Arabidopsis thaliana: one gene and its partner. The protein of the gene in region 2 interacts with the protein of the main gene of each other region in a pairwise test. Each region holds a gene or a part of one and is shown on either strand. Other genes may lie near its edges.

Evidence for each region.
Region 1: the proteins of AN (region 2) and AT3G56680 interact in a two-hybrid assay, tested with the Arabidopsis thaliana proteins (one large-scale study listed by BioGRID).

The regions. Positions count from the first base shown.
Region 1 is NC_003074.8:20,989,311-20,994,457, reverse strand, and holds AT3G56680 (Single-stranded nucleic acid binding R3H protein), read right to left. Parts: upstream 3,179-5,147; 5' UTR 2,922-3,178; coding exon 2,801-2,921; intron 2,302-2,800; coding exon 1,674-2,301; intron 1,575-1,673; coding exon 1,313-1,574; intron 1,063-1,312; coding exon 1,012-1,062; 3' UTR 772-1,011; downstream 1-771. Other genes in the region: CIP111 (Cam interacting protein 111), read left to right, coding at 3-193, 273-451, 538-589; AT3G56670 (F-box/associated interaction domain protein), read left to right, coding at 4,463-4,867, 5,127-5,147.
Region 2 is NC_003070.9:185,566-191,206, reverse strand, and holds AN (NAD(P)-binding Rossmann-fold superfamily protein), read right to left. Parts: upstream 4,063-5,641; 5' UTR 3,973-4,062; coding exon 3,385-3,972; intron 3,197-3,384; coding exon 3,031-3,196; intron 2,924-3,030; coding exon 2,793-2,923; intron 2,679-2,792; coding exon 1,887-2,678; intron 1,791-1,886; coding exon 1,743-1,790; intron 1,646-1,742; coding exon 1,532-1,645; intron 1,443-1,531; coding exon 1,371-1,442; 3' UTR 735-1,370; downstream 1-734. Other genes in the region: ASG4 (Homeodomain-like superfamily protein), read right to left, coding at 1-69, 209-266, 379-611; AT1G01500 (Erythronate-4-phosphate dehydrogenase family protein), read right to left, coding at 4,634-4,867, 5,198-5,641. UniProt on the Arabidopsis thaliana protein: Involved in controlling the equilibrium between tubular and stacked structures in the Golgi complex. Required for cortical microtubules (MTs) arrangement that confers cell shape.

The DNA of each region.
Region 1 (5,147 bases), on a different chromosome or scaffold from region 2:
AGGGCGCTTTGATCGCTTGCTATATGTCGGACCTCCTAATGAAACTGATCGCGAAGCAATACTCAAAATCCATTTGCGTAAAATCCCATGCAGCTCTGATATTTGTTTAAAGGAATTGGCTTCCATTACCAAAGGCTATACAGGAGCTGACATATCATTGATATGCAGAGAAGCAGCTATTGCTGCACTTGAGGTTAGATATATACTAGTCCTTGTTTCCAGCACTAAGCCTGAAATTTGTTGCAAGTGTCTCACATCCTTTTATCAATCAGGAGAGTCTTGAAATGGAGGAAATAAGCATGCGACATTTAAAAGCTGCGATTAGCCAAATCGAACCAACAGAGATTCTGTCTTACAAAGCACTGTCTGAAAAATTCCAAAGACTTGTCCATACAGACCCACAAAGAGAAGAGGAGGTTACACAACCAGGAAACAAAAGCCGATCTCTATGGTAATATATATCTCTATTATCCATTCTGATCTCTATGCTATTTGAAGTTGTAAGTTACACTCACTTTGATGCTGTTACTTTTCCAGGACACCATTGAGATCAGTTGCCATGTTTCTTCGCCGCCACATTGCTTCGTAAACAAATGTTGAAACCAGCAAACTTTGGAAATTCTCCATCACTAACGTACGTATTGTGTTTGTTTAAACTAGATATTGTTTTTTTGTTGCGTCTCACAGACTTGTACGAATCAACGGAACAAATAACATGAATGTAAAGATTTGGAAGGCTGATTATTTATCTTGTGTAATGCAAACCTAAAGGACAGCTTTTGCAGATTTGGAAGACATTCAATTCAAAACAGAGAATTTCGATGAAGATTTGACCCACAGGTAGTTCATTGGTTTTCCATAATAGACAGAATCTGATAATTGTAAAAGGAACAAAAGGTCTCTTCATTCTGAATTTTGACATTACAACTCCAAAATTTCCATTACAACAGTTCCTAGGTTCTACAAAAAAAAATGGTAAACAGAGATAAAGATCGACAAAGAGGCAAGCACCTAGCGGTTCTGCATGTAGTCGAAGCTCAAGGGTTGTTGAACGAACTGTGCCTGGAGAAACAAGTTACAACTGCTTTCAGACAATCATTGGAAACAATGCACCAAACCAACTCAATTGCTTTTTTCATTTGTTTTTGGAAGAGTTTTAATAGAATCCATTTCTCTTAACGAGTTCTCAGCTATGCATAAGTATATATTAAACATGTGGGTGAAAAAATTTCAATATATGGTCCTTATATTTGGACAAAAGTTTTTATTCCATGATCGCTCAAAGAGAGTAAAAAGGATCAATGTTATTTACCTGAAGAGAGCCATTCCTGAACTGCTCATACGGATGAGCATACATCATAGCTGCATTAGGCCAATGCATATACATTGCATCCATTGTGGTGCCATAGGGACTCATGATTGAGCTAGGATGTGGTCCGAAGCCAAGAGGAGCAGGAGGACTTGGAATTTGGTTATATCCAGTGAATCCCATTTCGTAGTATGGTGTCGGTATTTGCTGAATGTTGAAGGGTGGTAGATTGAAGTTCTGATTCACCGGAAGGCTCCTAATGTACCTGCATTGACACACACAATTATCATCAACCATCATGTATGAAACTTTTTCGCTAGTATAGTAATGGTTTAGCCAGTAAACTAACAGCTGAGTTACTCACCTTTGGTGTCTGCGGTCATAATCAGGGTCAAACCGATCTTTCTCTCTGTCTCTAAATATTGCAACACGAGATGTTGGACCACTTTCCCTGATGCTTAAGTTCTTCTTGACCTCAACGTAAGCATTCTTAGATACTTGCTTGTCATCTCTGCTAAGACTTGCATTCCTCTCATACACCTGAGTTTCAGATGAAGAGTCATCACAACTAAGACCAGTAAGACCACTGAATATGCGTTCTCGAGCCTTGTCATACTCTTCTTTCCTCTCTTCAACACTTCTAAGAGGACCACGATTCTTTTCCAGATCACCAGCGCCATATCCAGATCCTTTAGAAGGTCGAGTCTTGATGGAAACTTTCCTGCTCTCAAACTTACCATTTTCTGATTGTTTAGCCACCGGGATTTCAGACAACCGAACAGCAGGAAATTTGCTCTCTGTAGTTTTCGTCACAAGGATTCTGTTTTCATTTCCATCAGCACCACTCTCTTGGACAGCTGTAGCTAGCCCATAATGGTTAGCAACACGATGGGCTGCAAGACGAAGATACGAAGTAGGAAAATGCTGGAACTCAAACTGCTGCTGTTCAGGGTTCTGCAACAACCTTTGAACATCAAGTTCCATCCGCAAAACTAACACAACAAGAGAAACAAAACAAAAGGCTTAGTTACAGTAGCAAGAAACACAAAAGCCAGGACACACCACAGGCAGTTCCACACAACCACACAAAAGCTAAGCTACTACCAGATAAAGGAGATATATGTACCACAAGCAGTTCCACATAAACCACACAAAAGGTAAGCAACTATAAATGTTGAACACCATGGACAGAATAAAAGTTTACATCTTTGATAACATTAACCATGGATAATACAGTGCAGAGAAGAGAGCTAAATTCAGCATGGGCATCAACATAATCGCAAATCTAAGAAGAGAGCCAGTTCCTGAGAAACCCAAAATCCCCAAATTGCGGTTAAATTAACCTAACTATACCCAGCTAAATTCAGATAAGACCACCAATCAAAATTTCAAATTTGTTAATCCAGATGACAAAAATCAGCTCTAATTTCAGGAAATAAGGTTAAACGACACGAATCAGAGAACAAAAAAAAGAAGAGAAACGGAGCATACTCGTGAGACGATGGCGAGAGTTGTGCAACGCCTCAACGAGAAAAGGATCCACATTAAATCCATAATCTCCGATAACCGAACCACCGGTTACCACGGCAGTTTCCGGCAACACTACGTCCATGAGAAAAAGGAATGGATGTTTCAGAGAGTTCTGGATAGCTTCCTCGCCGCGTCTCTTGCTTAAAACCCTTGGGTTTCTTAATCTCTCCGCAGCAAAGAGAAGAAGACAAAATCAAGAGGAAGAGGAGAATAGAAATCGAAGCATATTGAGAGCGGCGAGAGAGAAGAGGAATGCAAAACCAAATCTTATCTTTCTCTCTCGGGAAGGCAAAGCCAACGAACGAGAGGGAAAGGAAACTTTATATTTTTTCCTTCTTTATTTTTTATTTTTCTCCTTTTCATTGAAAATAAATATCTCATATAATTTTAATTTTTTAAATATAGTTTTTCTCTTCTATTTGGACCCACGATAACATGTGTAGGTATACTATATAGAGCTTATATTCTAAACAAGCATTTTGAAAACATTTCTTTCAAAACAGAGACTCTAAACAATGTCCGTGCTGATTGTCTTGGTAAGAAGGCAAGAGCACGAGATTCTATTTTTTCCCATGTAAGTTCTTCTACTCCGAACTAGTTTTCTCTCGAAGAAAACCGACCCGTTTTTAGCTTAAATGGATGACCTTATTTTGCCGTAAAAAACAACAACAGTAAAAGCATATAATAACTCCAATTTTCATTGTTACGGACATTTTTGCCCTTAAACTATGAGCTGGAGTTGAGAATGAGGTGAAAAGAATGCGTTTATCTTCTAAAAAATGCATCCCCATCTCTGATTCAATTTTAAGTTTCTTTTGACATTCAGAGATATATGGCTTAGATAGTGGATTTGCAGCTTCGACGGTAGACGTGAAGCTTTGACGGTAGCACAAAGATTTGGTGGTGGTTCACGGCTTTGACGGCGAGGGGTAACGAACGACGTCAATGGTAAACGCTATACCCTAGAATTAGACTTGTAAACCCAAACCGTCAAATATACAGTCTACAATTCTTACATACACACAATAACACAACACTACAACCATCCTCATTATCATCAAACACCATTAACATGAACAAAAATCAATGTACTTGTAGACATGATTATGAACATCAATTGAGCAATCAACAAAGTATCAATCACTTCTTGAGTTCCTTAACCTGCACAAAAATCACTGAACAAAAAAACGTGCAAATCGTAATACCAAATCGTGGGACTTTTTTGTTTCTTGTTGTTTTTTCCAGATCTCAAAATGTGGGATGTTAAAAATCTAGATCGCATTCACATCTCATGAGGACCAATTGTTAATCGTCTGAATTTCCAATCGTCGCTGACATCACTCTGTAATCAATGACTCCAAAGTTGTTGGTGTTGGTCGCAAGTATTTTTGATTTCTAGTGTAAAACGTAAAAGTTCATCAACAAAGAAAGAGCAACATCATCTCTCTGTAAGGGTAAAAACAACTTTCCCCAGGAAAGAAGTGCCTAAATCTAAAGATCATTTTAAAAGTGCCTAAAATAAAATATATATCTAAGACAAATGCCTTATTTGCAATAAACTCTATATACTATATACTATATAGAGAGCCCTCGTTCATTAGTCTAAGGTTTGACAAAACAGAGATGATGACGAGAGGACGCAAAGAGAATAGCAACGAGACCTCACCCTCGCCGACACTACTTCTTCACGGCGGAGTTATCGATATCCCTCTGAATACTGACAGTGGAGTGACTAAAAACACTCCCGGCGAAATCGCACTATTGAGGTTCAAATCTGTCTCGAAGCTGTGGTCATCCATTATCAGCAGTCGTAGAGACTTCATAGAATCGATAGTGACTCGATTTTTGACTCAGCCTCCTCATGATGCCCATTTCATCTTCGGCTTCGATTCAGGCCCTTACGTGGAATGTTTCTTAGGCTTATCGTCTACTTATCCTCCAAATACGGACATAGAAGCAGTACTATCAATCCCTGGGAGAATGGCGCAGTATGTTTACGGTTTGATGTGTTGTTTGTCTGGTTTTAAGGTAGTTGTATATAACCCTACCACAAGACAGTCCTTTACACTTACCAGGGATGACACATTGATTTATTATCCAGGGGAAACTACTACAACATATATAACTCTACCTCTAGATATAAATTGATGAGTTTTGATATCAGGTCTGAATTTTTTTATCATGTTGAATTCCCAGTAGAGATGATATTTCAACTCTGGTAAACTACCAAGGGAAGTTAGGATTCGTGTTTTGCGCGAATGACATGGAATATATTTGGGTTATGAAGGATGCTAAGAAGGAGACACAA
Region 2 (5,641 bases):
AGGTGGGAGATGTTCTTTAGTCCCATTCTTCTGAACTTTGAGAAAGTACTTCTGTGCGTGGCTTCGTATCTACAAAACCAATATTCTAGTTACTATCCAACATACATAGAACTTATATCTCCAATTCCACCCCAAAGAACAGAGTTCATAAAATTACTTATATGTAACTTCAGACAAAAGTATGGAATGCATATGTTTGATTGATTACCTGTATCACTGTTTTTGATCCAACAAAGGCCTTTATTTTCTTCCAATCCCGGTCAAATCTGCAATCAAATAGACATGATCATATCAGAAGAAGAAGAACAAATCTCAAAGATTCTATATATCATTAATCAGATAAATGAAGGCAGAGAAGTGAAATCCGTGTCAACATACAGATGAAGGGCTTCAAGGAACTTGTCGTGTTCTTGCTCCGTCCAGTTCTCTCTAGATTTGGTGATAGTGTAAGGCTTTCTAACCTTCTTTGTTGGATCCTCAAAAAACGACATCGTCCTATTGCTCCGTATGGAAACCGGTATCGTTGTTGCCGTGTGGGGAAGAGTATTGAAACCCGGTAGACTCATTTTCATAGGCAAACAATGAGCTTGGCTAGGGTTTACAGTCACCATAAAACTCGACAACACACACAAAGTTCCCTTTTGGTTTGAAACAGAGTTTGTGACTTGAGAGACTTGTGTGAGAGTGGTGGTGGTATAAGCGGGAGAGGGAGACAAGGTTAGAAGTGTAATCTCATTCGAAAAATGGATTTAAGCCGAACACGTGTAAGGAGCCGGTTGCTCTGGTTCAGAGCGTGGGACTAACAACTACAAGCCATGTGGACATTCTCCTAACACTCATGCCACGTACAAATTTAAATCCACGGCACATAAATTGCCACGTGGAATACGATCGTAAGCCAGCAATCTTATTTACGAGATAGCTGCCTAGCTGGGGCCTGGTTCGACTAAAAATGAAGGTTACTTTCTTTTGTAGTTTAGCTCAAATTTTAGTTATGTACGATGATGTGTTTTATGTACGATGATCTCTAAAACACAAACGCAGCATATACAAATACAATACACACACCTATTTCAAACTACTAACCAAACACACAATGCTTTCGAGTTCATCACGACCAGACCCAGAAAACAACAACAAACGTCCCTCTAAGACAAGCTCATCGGATGTTTCTGCAAACCGAGAATAAATAAAAAGAAACAATGATTACAGATATAAGTTGGTTGATACCAACTACACAACACACGACACAGTCTCGAAACACAAAAATTGGGTGTCTCTGTTTTTCGTCTGTGAATCCTAAGGATGTTAAAGTAACAAAAGTAATTAAAAGAGAGAAACTCACAAATGGAGAGACTCTGTTTTTCTTTTTAATCGATCCAACGTGTGATACCATCGTCTCCTACCATTGCCAATATCTCCACACGAACGTCCAACACCGCCTGCAACATTCATTACACAAATTATTTCTGTTTTCCAAGAAGTAGGGTTTTTCAATTTCGGGCCATTTTCTGTAAGGACAGAGACTTACAGAGGAATTCCTGCAGTTAACAAGCCGACATTCGTCCAGAGAACCTTCTAGACTCCAACTCTCCCACACGTCAAAACTATGGCTAGCAAACACAAACTCCATTCTTCTATTGATCTGCACACACACACACCCATGACACAACCACTTTTAGATTCCATAAGAGCAACATTGAGTTACCAATGGAAGTAACACTCTCTAATGTAAGAGCTACCTGCAGTAACTTCCCACCAGCAGCAAATGATCTCAGACCAACAGTGTCCTGGAAAACAAGTTCATGCACCAAAACCAATTTATAATGGTCTATCTGGCATTGTAAGCAAGATAAATGAAAAGTAAGAGAGAGAAAAAGGTTTACCTTGTTTCTGTATGCGATAATGAATTGTGCAGCAGGATCTCGTTTGGATACATTGGACAAAGTATCGAGGAACCAGCCACCGTTTTTCGTTCTTTGCCTGGAAACGTGGAGGCCCGAGAGGTCTTTCGCATACAAGGCTACTACATATCCATCTTTCAGTAGCTCACTTGACTTTCCAATGAACTTCTTACTTGACATTACAAGCTGATTTGGGGAAGACTCTTGCATTACTTCAAGAGGTGTTTTCCTACTTCTGGAATCTTCAGGAGAAGCACATCTAGAACTGGAACTTAATACTTCTTCTGTGTCACTCATAGCAATATCATCTCTTCGTGAAGTACTTTCTTCATTTAACCCTGAGGAACCATCCGTTTTTTGCATGTATTTTTGCTGTGAATGTCTCTTTTTGGCTTTCTTACCGGATCTGCTACGTCTTCCTTCAGGTTTTACGGCAGTATTTTGAGAAACGTGTTGCTGACCAGGGCTCAGAGATTCTTTTAACTCACTAGCCTCTCTACGTACGATCTCAGTGCTGGTGAGAGTACTTTCTCCCTGTTGCCTACTGGTGGATTCCACTATTGCTAATTTCTCGTGTTTGCTAGGTGATTGTTCTTCTTCTTCACTTGCTTCACTTTCCTCAACTTCCTCATCAGAAACAGTGTTACTTGGAATTACACCATCTAAGAAAAATGAATGCAAGATAGAGATAGCCTTCTCCCTTATCTCCATCCATACTTCCTCACTGTAATCTGCACTGCGAGGTAGAATTAACACATTTGGCATTTCCTTCACCTGCAATGAAAACAAGATATAATGGATGCAGGATAAACAACAGAAGAAGATGATGAAACAAGAGAATAGGCAGGCGCAAATGTGAAGTTTAGTCACTGGAAAAGAAAGTCATACCCATGCTTCCATCCATTGTGGACCTTCAGCACCGTCAAGGGCGCAGCCAGCTATAGTGCCATCAATTAGAAGTTGTTTCACAGCACAATCATCCAACAGCTGGCAGCTTCCAGTATTTACAAGAAAAGCCCCTAATACATAAAATCAACCAGAATTGAAGGGAATGCGAGAAAGCAGAAGTTCATCTTCAATTCACATTCATGGAGAATCAAATTTCATTTGACAAGAAAACTCATACCAGGTTTTATATGCTGCAAACACTCTGCATTGAGTATCTGAACCGTGTCATTTGTTAATGCACAATGTAGCGAAATGACATCACTTGCTGCTAGAAGATCATTCAATGTATCCATTCTTCGAGCAGCACGTGGGAATCTCGAGGGCCTGATTCGTTCTTCATCTCCCTGAACAGACGCAAACGCAACTATTGACAACAAATATAACATCCAAGGGAGAGGAACTTGAAAGAGAGCCATCATAGTAAGCAGTTTAGGAATGTAGTAGCTAAGAACTCAGCACTTTTTTTGGTCCCTAAAGAGTCAGTTTACACTAAGATATTAAAAGCTTAGCGAGACATTGCCAACAAACATACCTCTGGGACATCGAAGTAGAGCACACTCATCTTGAAAGCCAAGCTTCTACTAGCTAAATACCGAGCCGATACAGATCTGCCAACGATACCCAAAACCATACCACGGCACCGTCTCATTCCCCGGCAAAGAGGCTGAAGCGATCCGAGCCAACCAGACGCCGATAGAGCGTGTCGCGAGAGTAAATGCGTCCGTCGAAGGAGTCCAAGGATGAGCGCCATGACGGTATCCGCGATTTCCTCGGCTCGTGAAGTATCTACATGGACAAGTCGGAGACCTAGGTCGGCGGCGAGAGTCGAATCGACAGCGCGATCAGCAGAGCCAAGGCAGAGAATGAGCTGGTGAGGACGGAGTCGGCGTTGAGCTGCTCGTGGAAGATACGCGAGGGAATGGAGGAGAACGGCGGTGGCGGACTCGATCTTACCATCGGCGATGCGGCTGAGCGGGACGTATTCGACACCAGCAACGCCGGCGAGGGAGTCTTGCTCGAGCGCACAATCCTCTATACAGTTGAGTGTAACGACGTGAGGCGACGCCGGTGACGGCTGGTCGCGATGTGGCATTGTCGCAGACGAACGGATCTTGCTCATCTCCTCCTTCTTCTCGCTACTCTCGAGGAGTGAAATTTTGATTTTGGGAACATAATGATTTAGGGTTCAATGTTGTAAACTCTTACAAAATTAAGGGGCTAAATTTCATTTATAATAATTTTCAGGGCCCAAAATACAATTTAAACAAATTGACAATAATTTTTTAGTCCAATGCTCATGCTCCCCCGATAAGACGTCATCGGTTTGACATTTATGATAAACGACGCCGTCTTCCACTTGGCTTGTTGTAATAATTTAATTTACTAATTGCAAACAGATACTGAATACAGGTGAAACATGTACATTCCCTATTCCACATTATTTCCTGACCAGAAACCGAAAGACAAACTCCAGCGTTTGACAACAACAACAATAACACGAAATCTCTTTCTACACAAGAGCAACGACATAGACAGACTTGAGAAAAGAAAGAACAAAAGAACATGACTGGAGCAAGATGGGAACTCTCTTTTGTGCTACTAAAGTATATGAACAGAGCCGAATATATATATATATTCAAAAGGACACAAACAGGTGAAAACCAAAAGCTCTATACATCTATCTACCAAAATTCTATCTCTTTTATAACCCACTACGTTACCGACATTCTTAGTAGATCTCGAAATGTCTAAGTGGGTTTTTAGTTTATGGTAGGTGATGATCAGAGAAACCTCCTACGAAGGTTACTAGTTGTTGCTTGATACGAACGCATGAGTAATCCAACTCCAATGCCTACACCAAGACACATCCCAAGGCCTATCCCAACTCCGACTCTGACTCCTGCATTGAACCATGAGAGCTGACCATCCTCATCAACGTACATTCCTTCAGGGTAATATCTCTGTGCCATTTTCATATCTGAGTCATCGTATTCATCAACTTCTGATTCCATCATCTGCATAAACGAAACGACAAACAAGATAAAGCACCAAAAAAAGTGCAAAGAGAGTCTATTGACCTATATCCATATCTCAATTTCTGATCAGTCAACAATTCTACAATTTTCAAATTCAGCTGTAGAGTCAAAGAAAACATTCAAGCAGGAGCTAAATTCACCAGAAACTTGCGAGTGATCTTAATAACTAAATATCTGCTACAGCATTCATAACTCACAAAACTAGACGAAAGAAGCAACCTTTTCAAATCTCAATCCCAAGTTATTAAGAATCGTAACTTAAGGGCTTGGACAATCACCAAACAGAGAATTGTGAAATCAGAATCATACCTGTACTTTGCTTTGACGGGCCAATTCATCACCAATGGTACCAATGTCTTGCTCTTTGCCAACTTCCTCATCCTCAGGGATAGCGTCGAGTGTCACGTGCCTAGCCACCTTCCTCCTCGGACTCGCCTGAATCGTCTTGGTCAATATCACCGGGACACCACCACAACAACCAGCTATATAAACCTCGACGGACGGAGACGAGACTCCAAACTTTGGCTGGAAAAACACAGAGGCAGAAGGACCTGACACGTGTCCGTTTCCCATAGCAATGTAACAATCCATGCCCCATCCAGTCTTGGGATCACTCACAGTTCCATTGTTCCAAGCACCTTCGATTCTATCTAGGTTCCCACACAAGACCATATCCTCGTTATCATAAACCTCGAAATCAACGCATCCGGTAACGCGAACGGTCTCAGTGCTCACGTAAGTCACCTCCGACGA